3 linked regions of the Coturnix japonica genome follow. Each later gene encodes a partner of the first gene's protein in a complex. Links are inferred from orthologs where the notes say so. Each region holds a gene or a part of one and is shown on either strand. Other genes may lie near its edges. The genes, in order: NF2, LATS2 and LATS1.

The links.
Region 2: the proteins of NF2 (region 1) and LATS2 are in contact, whole or in part, in a crystal structure (PDB 4ZRI), measured with the Homo sapiens proteins. The link is inferred for Coturnix japonica from reciprocal best matches to the Homo sapiens genes NF2 and LATS2. Residues at the interface, in NP_000259.1 of Homo sapiens: Pro135, Glu136, Ala137, Val139, Leu140, Tyr144, Asn175, Leu176, Tyr177, Gln178, Met179, Trp184, Arg187, Trp191, Glu206, Lys209, Ile210; in NP_055387.2 of Homo sapiens: Tyr73, Ala76, Leu77, Glu79, Ile80, Arg81, Ser83, Leu84, Leu85, Phe87, Ala88, Asn89.
Region 3: the proteins of NF2 (region 1) and LATS1 are in contact, whole or in part, in a crystal structure (PDB 7LWH), measured with the Homo sapiens proteins. The link is inferred for Coturnix japonica from reciprocal best matches to the Homo sapiens genes NF2 and LATS1. Residues at the interface, in NP_000259.1 of Homo sapiens: Pro135, Glu136, Ala137, Val139, Leu140, Tyr144, Asn175, Leu176, Tyr177, Gln178, Met179, Met183, Trp184, Arg187, Trp191, Glu206, Ile210, Asp213, Leu214, Glu215; in NP_004681.1 of Homo sapiens: Pro69, Lys70, Phe71, Gly72, His74, Ala77, Leu78, Glu80, Ile81, Arg82, Ser84, Leu85, Phe88, Ala89, Asn90.

Annotation. Positions count from the first base shown.
Region 1 is NC_029530.1:9,885,781-9,889,429, forward strand, and holds part of NF2 (merlin), read right to left. Parts: intron 3,488-3,649; coding exon 3,270-3,487; intron 2,594-3,269; coding exon 2,488-2,593; intron 1-2,487. UniProt on the Homo sapiens protein: Probable regulator of the Hippo/SWH (Sav/Wts/Hpo) signaling pathway, a signaling pathway that plays a pivotal role in tumor suppression by restricting proliferation and promoting apoptosis.
Region 2 is NC_029516.1:159,812,279-159,815,927, reverse strand, and holds part of LATS2 (serine/threonine-protein kinase LATS2), read right to left. Parts: intron 1,651-3,649; 5' UTR 1,409-1,650; coding exon 1,070-1,408; intron 1-1,069. UniProt on the Homo sapiens protein: Negative regulator of YAP1 in the Hippo signaling pathway that plays a pivotal role in organ size control and tumor suppression by restricting proliferation and promoting apoptosis.
Region 3 is NC_029518.1:43,379,093-43,382,741, reverse strand, and holds part of LATS1 (serine/threonine-protein kinase LATS1), read left to right. Parts: intron 1-536; coding exon 537-2,065; intron 2,066-3,649. UniProt on the Homo sapiens protein: Negative regulator of YAP1 in the Hippo signaling pathway that plays a pivotal role in organ size control and tumor suppression by restricting proliferation and promoting apoptosis.

The sequences.
Region 1 (3,649 bases):
TGAGGGAAGCACAGAGCAAGCCATGCCACAAGACTTTCCCCACAGGGAAAGCTCCTGCTGCTGCTGCCACTGCCTTCACTTTGCTACCTGAAGACTTGGGCAGGCCCTTCATATCCCAAAGAATCACAGAAGAGATGACTGCCTTTAGTCTTGCTGTGACTGGTACCTGAATGGCAGCAAAGGAGGCAGGAGGCACTGCCAAGTCAGTAAGGAATGAATTGTTCTCCCAGCATTGGCGGCCTGAAACTCAGGTTTGTTTTTTCTTTCCTGTGCATTATCCACCACCACCATCACAAAAGCAGTTTTGGCTTCAAGGTCTAAAAAGACACCTGAACAAGTTCTAAAAAGCCAGTACAAGGAACTGGAAAATTACCAAAGAAAAATTTTAACTGCTTCTTGTCATTTCTGTAACACATCCATCCTCTCCTCCCTTCCTCTTTTGCTTGTTTCCCAGGAGGGAAGTTCTGGCTTGCACTCCATGCCAGGGGACTACAGCACAAACTCTGGGAGAAAGAAAAATAACAAGCTCAGCGTTACACCCTCATTAAGGAAGAGAAGAGCTGGAATCTGGTACCGTTTGGCAGAGCTGCCATTCACCTGAGGGACACCAGCCTCCCAGCAGCAGCTTTCAAAACCCTTCATCCCTCAGGCCACTTTGGGTTTATTCCCTCTCTGCTACTGCGCCTGCCCAGCACAGTCCCTTCAGCCCAATCCTGCGCAGGAGAAGCATTTCAGCACATCTCACTCATCTGTCCCAAAGCACTCACGTGGCAGAGTGAGAGACGCTACAAAGGAAGAGAAACATGAGGCAGGTGTAACAAGGGATGGAGATGGGGTGCTTCACACACAAGGGCCCAGCAAGTTACTGTCACATGGATACAAGTCTAACAGACATAAGACAGCCAGCTGGCCTTGGAAAAGCAACAGACATTGCGTCTGTGTGATGCAGTGCTGCTCCCATGGCTGGGAGGGGGCAAGAAGAGCTATGAGAGGGGACTCTGTCATCTAAATGGGGAGAGAAAAAGGCAAGCCACAGCTCTTTGAGGAAAGGAGGATACAGCACTTTGTGACTGGAGGCGGCAGCTCTGCACAGATTGCCTCTAGGACAGATGCAGCTGGAGGGGTGGAGCTGAGCTCCATGCAATCCTGCACTACCTCCTGTAATTAGGCTTTAACTCCACAGGCAGGAATACAGTCACGCTGCTGATCGCTAGTGCGGGCAGCACAGGGATTTATGCACAAGAGCTCACTAGCTGTGGTTCTGCTCGTTTGACTAAGGATGAGCACAGCCACGTGAGGGAACCTGGATGTGAGAGCTCTGCCCAGACATCAGCACTGGGCTGATGTAGCCATTCAGTAGGTTTCCAACAAGTATGCTCCACCCTGTGAGTAAATTAAGCTCAGAATTCACAAACTGGTGGATCCCAGAACCCTGCAGCAACATAAGGAGCTCTCCAAAGATAAGGTTTAGAAAGCATCAAGCCTTACAGCACTTGACTGAAGGCCCTGAGGCTAAAAACACCCGACTATTTTCCATCGTTGCCGTTTCTTAAACGCTTCTGAATGTTTCTGCAGGGATCTTCAGAGAATCTGGATGAAAAGCTTCTTCATCACTAACCCTCTTCAATCTGCTTCCCAGAAGTTTTGAGGGGAGAGGGAGGAAAGGAGCTAACACGTACAAATTAAAGCTTCAGTACTAGACAGGTCAGTAACTCCCACGTATGTCTGTTGAGTTTATTCCTGAAGATGTCAAGTTCTTCCCCCTTCACCTCTCTGGACAAAGTGCAGCAGCAAAGGCAGTCATGGCAGGTGCAAGCTGTGGGGAAGGAGCGCCTGATGGCATCTGCAGGTCCTGCAGCACAATTAGGGAAGCTGAGGAAAGGAACTGCCAGACAGAATGGGAGCAGTGGTCTTTTAGTCTGGTGTTTCAGTCCCTGGCAGCAATCAGGACCAGATGCTTCAGAGGAAGGTGTGAAATCCTCTTAATGGGCAATTACAGAACACTCCCCCTTCAATGAAGTTGGTTTTTCAGCACATAGATGCACAGAGACCAGTTTATGCCTGAGAATGAATTCACAGATTTGGAACAATATTCATTCTTCCTAACAAGTATCAGACCATCCTCAGTTCTGTATTTAATCCTATTTTAAAAGCTCTTACAGAGCTGGTCAACTCCACATGCAAAGCACGGCACGTTTCTTAGATTACTTTACAGTTTGTTGCATTTAATTCCATCGGCAGCTCTCTGGCCTTTGTAGAATAAAGCAAGATAGATAGGGGGAAAAAGGTGAGCAAAGCGTTCTGGTGGACAAGTTACTTAGACGAAAAGGGCAAGTGCTCCTAAGTATTACAGAACAGCTACTAAGCAATACAGTGAGATGATTCATACCCCCCTACTGATGGGATAGAGACACAAGACTGCTCTAGACTACGGAGGATGCCAGTTACTGTCTGGAAACTAGCAATGACAATACTGATGATTCTTACCGTGTAGGATGACTTGCTGGTGATTTCCAAAAGCTTCTGCTTTGCTCTCCGCTCAGACTCTCGAGCCTCCTGAAGGTCCTGCTTTAGCTGATCAGCCTCCTTTGCCCTACCAAGGAAGAACAGCAAAAGGCAATGTTAGGTCCAAGTTTGGAGGCTGATAAACATGATTACACCATAGGTGTAAAACAGGTAGAGAGTTATCCCTTAGCAAGGCCTAAACAAAGAAATCATTTGGGTAAGGGAAACACTGGAACCTCTGACATGTAGGACACTAACTAGCACAAAAATCCACGCCATAGAAGGACAGCTCTGGCACGAACTCTGCATGAGCAGCAGTAAGCAAAGCTAAGGGGTGGAGCAGCACATCAGAATGCCAGGAGAGGAAAAGACCCATAAGTTGAGCTCCCTTCAGCTGTTGCTGTCAGGGCGTGAAAGGCAGAGCACCAGGGCCCTCTAGGTGATGTCCCCTTTCCCTGTTCCTTTCACCATAGCATCAACCCTTCCAATAAAAGGGCTTCAAAGAAGGGACGTCTGATCAAAGAAAAATCAGGGCCACCACTGTTCTACCTGTACCATTTCCTATGCAGGGATAGCCTAGTTGTGGCAAACAGCAAAACAGAGAGAAATCAGCTGAGCCTTGGGGTCAGTTGCTGTTGTGCATGCAGGGGAGGCCAAGGACTCACTGCAAACTCTGAACTACCTCAAGGTGAGCCACAGTTTTGCTAAGTCAGAAGGGGGCTGGAAAGCAAAGCAGAGACAGCTGCAAGGTTGTACCCTCTGACCTCCTCTCTGACTCCTCCGCCATTTTCAGTGCCAACATCTCAGCTTCTAGCACCTTCTGTTCCATCAGTCGCTTCTCCTCCTCCGTCCGAATGGCCGTGGCTTTGATTCGCTGCATCTCTTGCTCAGCCTCTGCTGCTTTCTGAGCCAGGAGCTTTGCCTCCTCCTCCGTGATCTGAGCCTTCTCAGCCAGCAAATCAGCTGTCTCTTCAGACCTCATCTGAGAATAAACACATGTTAAGTCAGCAAGCACACAATGTCCCCTCGAATGTGCTCTCAAGCCTGGAGCAAGGCCCCAAACTGAACATTCCACATGACCATCGTGGCTCACCAAGTCCCCCTCTCTTCCATGAAAGCCTGCAGCTTCCTGCAGCCAAAACCT
Region 2 (3,649 bases), on another chromosome or scaffold:
CCACCTGTTGCACAGCAACAAAATGCAATGGAATATTGGTGGGAAGGTTCAACTCCTACTACCATCCCACCAACATCTGTCTCTGATGTTGTAGACCCAGGTAACAAAATAAGAGGCACTACTTTCAGAGCAGCTCTTGTATTCCAACACCCATCTCAGGATGATAAAAACAAGCATCTCTGTGCTGAATTCCTTATCTGAGACAGGACTACCCTCCCTTGGTGGAAGCAAAGAAGGTAAGGAAGAAAATGCATGCATCCAATTACACTTGTTCCTTGCAAACAGCAAGCAAGCTTCTTCAAAGAATACATACATCGTTCTTTTCATTTGCTTCTGACAGCAAGTGGAGTTTAGACATATAGAATCACAGAATCACAGAATGACCCGGGTTGGAAGGGACCTCAAGAATCATGTAGTTCCAACCCCCCTGCCTCGCAGGGCCACCAAACTTCCACAATTACTAGATCAGGTTGCCCAGGGCCCCGTCCAACCTGGTCTTGAACACCTCCAAGGACGAGGCATCCACAACCTCCCTGGGCAGCCTGTTCCAGGGCCTAACCACTCTCCTAGTAAAGAATTTTCCCCTGACATCCAACCTAAATCTTCCCTCTTTCAACTTAAATCCTTTTCCCCTTGTCCTGCTATTGTCAGCCCTTTCGAAGAGTTTAATCCCCTCCTGGATATAGGTTCCTTTCAGACATATTAGACAGAATTCCACCCTAATACTCACAGATAGAACTTGCTACAGTATTGAGAAGGGAAAAAAAAAAAAAACCCAACAAAAACATGCTGCCCTGTTAAGCCTTATACATCAAATGAAGAAATTACAGAAGTCCTAGAGGTCACCACAACCATCTTCATAACACGAATTAACCTCACACTAGACATGCCTCTCAACAGCAAGTTCATCTGCTCAGCTATTCACACAGCAATACGACTGCCAAAAGAGTTGGTGCATTTTTTACAACCAGTAAACTTGATAACCATTATCAACATTGTTACCTCAGGACCAAGCATAAACTTATTTTGATCACAGTGACAATTCCCCTCTCTTCCAACTCATACGTACCTGATCACAACCCGCATTCACCAGCTCCTGGAGCATCTGCCTATTCACTTCAACAGCTGCTGTATTGCTCGACTCATTAGCAAAAGGTAGCAAAGAATACCTAATTTCTCGCAGAGCTTTCTGATAAGGTCCAAACTTTGCCGTTTGTCTCATCTGCTGCTGCCTTGCAGCATCCTTCCCTACTAAAATCTTAGGGTCCAGAGAAGTTTCACTGCCTGGTCCAATAGGCAGCCCCTGACCTGAAGATTTGGATGGCTGCTTTAAACCTTCTCGAATCTCTTGTAACCTTTGTCTGCTGTTTCCAGAATACGTTGTAGCAGGAAAAGTCTTTGGCCTCATTGTTAATCCAGTTTTCTCTGAGCATAAATACAGCTTTATTCTTGGTAGTTTTTTTTTAGCTACTTTATTTCTAAGAAGTGTCGCTTCACGGTATCAATTTCTTGTAAACATAAATCCTTCAAAGGGAAAAAGAAAAATGGCAAAATCCTCAAGAGGTTCCTGCCAGCATTTTACTTCAGCTCACAGTCTTCACATCTCCTACAGAAAATCCTTGGAGTCATCATTTCACAAACCGACGGCGTCTGAAACAAAAGCAAACAGAAAGCACGCGTAATTAAGTTGATATTGTAAACACCTCCAAAGGGACAACATGACAATTAATCAAGTGAAAGTGAATCAGTTTAACCTTATTAAGCTGTTGCAGCTTAATGCATTAATGATGATTATCACTTTATCTGTTTTCAAGAATAGGATTTCAAAAGGCTTTCTCGACATCATCAAAAAAAGCATTTTTCTTCAAGGCCTTGTTTTGAAAATAAATGAAAATAAAAACCTCAGAAACTACAAAGCTTGAGAATTTCATACACTACCTAATTGTGGCAGGTTTCCCACCCCATTGCATAACCAAACCCTGGACAAGCCTATCCTGTTTCATAATTAGGGAAGAGCATGCTCATGAAACGTTTTTCCCCCACTTCAGATTTTGTTTGTTTTACACAAGCTGAGCTCAGTTTCAAGAGTTTATGAAAAAGCCTTATAATGGAAATATTGATGATTCTAACCATAGCAACTTCTAGCATTTTAATAACAAAGTGACAAGATATTTTGCCATTCCACATGAACGTTCTTGCCAATGTTGAAGGTAAGAATTGCCCCTCTCCCAGTTCCAGGGGGTTTATTTTATTTCTTTGTATTATTGCTATTATTAAAGGGTGCAAGGGCGAGGGAATCAAAAGGGTGATGCATACTTTAACTGTGCCTGACAAGAAGACAGGGAAGGAGCTACTCAGTAACAGCACAAAAAGCTGAAGAAGTTCAGACCGCTCACATAAGATTAAAACACAGCTGTGATACAGCCTCACAGCCCTCTTATGATACACAGCAGAGGTCAGCTATACAACTATGGAGCAGAACTGAGCTACTCTGCAACTTGTGACACCTTTACAGCACTGAGAGGTAATCAGAATTCTTTATTTACTGAGTCTTCGTGGCATTGACAAGTGACAGGACGAGGGGAAACGGCCTCAAGTTGCGCCAGGGCAAGTTTAGGTTGGATATTAGGAAGAACTTCTTTACAGAAAGGGTAGTTAGGTACTGGAATAGGCTCCCCAGGGAGGTGGTTGAATCGCCATCCCTGGTTGTGTTTAAGAGCCGTTTGGATGTGGTGCTCAGGGATATGATTTAGTGTAGGGTTGTTAGAGTTAGGGTACTGGTTAGCTGGGTTGGACTTTGATGATCTTCAAGGTCTTTTTTTCCAACCTGGGTAATTCTATGATTCCATGACTGTTACATGCCAAACATTACATACAGATGCATTTCAGAAAAAGGATTAAAAAGAAGCATCACATAGCACTGATGCTACAAGTTTGTTTCTGCCACCAGTACCAACATCTGCACAGTGACTTTACCCTGCTGCTCCATTGAGAAAGCTCAGAATTTCGGGTCCAGTTGTTTTGAAGCCACAAACAGAAGCTGGTGAAGTTCTGCTATCGTTGGTCACTCAGAAGCAAAGCGGACCTTCTTTCTCAGCCCTCATTATAAAGGGGCTTCACAGCCTGCAGTATTACTATTATTAATACATCATGAAAAGCTTCTCCAGAAAGCATTCTAGTCATACACTCCACCCACTGCAATAACTGTTCCTGTGACAGCTACAGCGTTTCCAACAAAACAACCATTTCTATACAACTTACTACCACCCCTCACAGACAAGCAAACAGATAACTACCTGAAAGCCAGGAGTCCGCACATACCCCTTGAAGCCCATCATCACCTCCTCACTGGCACGTGGGCTACTGTCAAGAGAGTCAAGTTCTCCACTAAACCAAGAACTGAGTACAGGGCAAATTACAGCCAAGTCACAGATCACAGAATGAACCCGGGTTGGAAGGGACCTCCTCAAGGATCATGTAGTTCCAACCCCCTGCCTGGCAGGGCCACCAAACATACACCTTTTACTAATAGGTTGCCCAGGGCCCTGTCCAACCTGGTTTGAACACCTCCAAGGACGGGGCACCACAACCTCCTGGGCAGCCTGTTCCAGGGCCTAACCACTCTCCTAGTGAAGAACTTCCCCCTAAC
Region 3 (3,649 bases), on another chromosome or scaffold:
TCCTTTTGCAAGGCCAGGTTGGACGGGGCCCTGGGCAATCTGGGCAATCTGATCTAGTAAATGTGTGTGTTTGGTGGCCCTGCCAGGCAGGGGGGTTGGAACTACATGATCCCTGAGGTCCCTTCCAACCCGGGTCATTCTGTGATTCTGTGTATTATATCCGAGGAATGATACTCAGATCTCAGTCATTTTTACCCCTAGTTGTTGTGATACTTGTATTTTTTTCTGTCATGTGCCATTTAGGAATCAGTGAACTTTTGTTGACTTAAAGTTGAATGCTCAACTTTATTCAACAGTCGACTCTGAAGATGTTTTAAATCCACAGTATAGGTGTGAGGGGAAAAAATGGTAAATCAAGAGCAGCAACATACAGCATTTATTCTCAGCCTGTGATGCAGAACTAGTTGGTGCTTGTCTGAAGCAGCTAGCTAAATGCTATTACTGAGCTATAATTTTCATTATTACTCGCAAAGTTATCATAGTTAGCATGTTCTTTTTCTGAACTGATAGAAATGCTCTTTTATCTTTTGTAAAAGCAGGGACTGTGCAGCAGTCAGTTAACCGCAAGCAGAGCTGGAAGGGTTCTAAGGAATCCTTAGTTCCTCAGAGGCACGGCCCTTCCCTGGCGGATGGAGTAGTTTATCGCTCGGAAAGTCCCAGCTCTCAGCCTGATGTAGGAAGGCCGCTATCTGGATCTGGCATTGCAGCGTTTGCTCAGGCTCACCCTGGCAATGGACAAAGAGTGAACCCCCCGCCACTCCCCCAGATCAGGAGCGTCACGCCACCTCCTCCACCTCCTCGAGGGCAGACACCCCCTCCCAGAGGAACCACGCCACCACCGCCTTCCTGGGAACCGAACGCTCAGACAAAGCGTTACTCTGGGAACATGGAATATGTCATCACCCGTATTTCTCCAGTGCCACCAGGTGCATGGCAGGACAGTTATCCACCTCCGCCGATGAATCCGCCACCCATGAATTCTTCCACTCAGGGTCAGAGAGCCATGAGTGCTGTCCCCATTGGAAGGCAACCAATAATCATGCAGAGTTCTGCCAACAGCAAGTTTAGCTTTCCCTCAGGAAGGGCTGGAATGCAAAATGGTAATTGTCCAGCAGACTTCATAGTTCACCAGAACGTTGTGTCTGGGAACTCAGTCAGTCGCCAGCCACTTCCATACCCCATGAACTCAGCTAATAGGCAGAGTCCGACGGCACTACAGATGCAGGCAGGGGGATCTGCTCCCCCTTCAGCATACACCAATGGGAATCTTCCTTCAACAATGTTGGTGCCAAATAGAAATAGTCACAACATGGAACTTTATAATACGAATGTAGCTGGAATACCTGCATCCTGGTCACAGCCTCCACCCGTGCAGCCACAGTCATCACCTGGCAATGGGCATGAAATCCCTGCATGGCAACCCAACCTTCCAGCACGGTCAAATTCTTTCAACAACCATCATGGAAATAGACAGGGTCACGCTAGCAGCTCTCAACCTTCAGCCACTACGGTAACTGCTATCACGCCAGCTCCTATTCAGCAGCCAGTGAAAAGTATGCGTGTGTTAAAGCCAGAGCTGCAGACTGCATTAGCACCAACTCACCCTTCCTGGATGCCACAACCAGTACAAACCATTCCGCCCATTCCCTTCTCCGAGGGTCCATCTTCAAACATGGCTGTTATGCCACCTGTGGCAGAGGCTCCAAATTACCAGGGTCCACCCCCACCTTATCCCAAACACTTATTACACCAGAGTCCATCTGTCCATCCTTACGAGACTGGACCCAAGCTTAACAAAGAGGAACCACCCATTTCATCTAAGGAGGAAGAGAATGAAAAGAATTATGAATGTGTTGATTCAGCAGACAAAGAAAAGAAACAAATTACAACATCGCCCGTTCCTGTTAGAAAAAATAAGAAAGATGAAGAACGGCGAGAGTCTCGTATTCAAAGCTACTCCCCTCAGGCTTTTAAGTTCTTCATGGAGCAGCATGTGGAGAATATACTTAAGTCACATCAGCAGCGTTTACATCGGAAGAAACAACTGGAGAATGAAATGATGCGGGTAAACCCTTTCTCATAAGTTTTTGACTAGAATTGTCTTTATGTTAGGACACGTAGTACGGATGCACAGAACACGGTGGTACAGCATGGTGCTGAGGGCTGGCTTTAGTTTTTCGTATTTCAGATGTGGCAGTTTCTTTATTACTTTGCTTACATACTTCATTGTCTTCTTAGAAATCAGTTTAGTGACATATGGTTTCTGTGTGTCTAAACACAGCTCATAATTGGTAAAGCAGAAGCAGCAGAATTTCTGTATGAACTGAGATTTAACTACTTGGCTTATCGCTTATTTTATGGATTCTGTTTAATCCTGATTTTTTTTGAGTGAGCTCTGTGCAATGTTTTAATGGTTTGTATATACGTGTATAAGCAAACATTGCAGGGGCGAGTTGGTTCGCTTTTTATATAATCACTTGAACAGTGGTATCTTTTACAGCTTGTTCCCACTAAGATGGTTTTTGACATTCCTACCTTAAAAAAAGAAAAAACATAAAAAAGTGTATATTTCTAAAATATCTTCTATAATTCAGACTCTAAGGGTGTCTGTTCAAACAAGGTGTAACTCAGTGGGGTGATAACAAACACACACCTGCAAGAATATATAGAAGCAATTTCTTTGCACTTACTTGAAGTCAGTTCTGTTCCCGAGATTTCGTGTTCTGTGAAACTAAAAGTGTTAAAGAAGCAGGTGATGTGTGTATGTGTAATTTCAGAAGTGAAAATCATGAGAAGTAGATTATCGAGACCCGCAGAAATGAAGACTTGAGATGCATTTTATATATTCTTAGCAGCTGTAGTTGAAAATTGGACGTAATTGTGATGTGCCTTTTACAAATGTACTTGGCTAATGCTTTCTTGAAATGCTGCTTTATTTTATTGAAGTGTTTACTCTTTGAAAGTTCCTTCTGTAAGCTATAGTGTTTTATGTTTGGTTAATCATAAGACATGTGAATGTTAGCAACATTTCCTGAAGTTCTTTCTAGATCTTTATTCTTAGTTTTCTCTCTTTCCTTTTCACTTCCACTAACAGCTGATTTAAACTGTTAAGGTGTGGGAAGCTTTCCTGAACTCTGTAGCCTCCATCCCTGTGTAGGCAAGTAAGATTTTTGGAGCAACAGTATTTATTATTAAAGAGTAGCATGATCCCTTTTTAGAGGTCTTTGCATGCAATCCTGCATCAAAATTAAGCATGTATTTTATTTTGACTATTTTTGAGTACTGAAAAGTAAGATTATAACTCATGTTGATTTGCAAACTTCACTTTCCCTCCTTCCTGTGTTGTTCCGTAGTATCAGAATCATGTCTTACTTAAGCGAAGACACTGATTGTAAGCTTTCTTGAATGTTTTCTGTGTACATTTAAAGCACATAAGTGAATGTCTTTTTTTTTTTATGTGACATATTTATAATTTTGATCAATATTTATAATATTGATGCTAGATTAAAAGTTGGGATGTTTGATTGCAGACTGAAGCAGGGGAAATGCAGTATTACACTGCGGCAAGACTCTCCTCTTTCATCAGGTTAAAGGACAGAATTTCCACAATAGTGAAGTATATTTGAGGTCTTTGTGAGAAGGGGAAAGG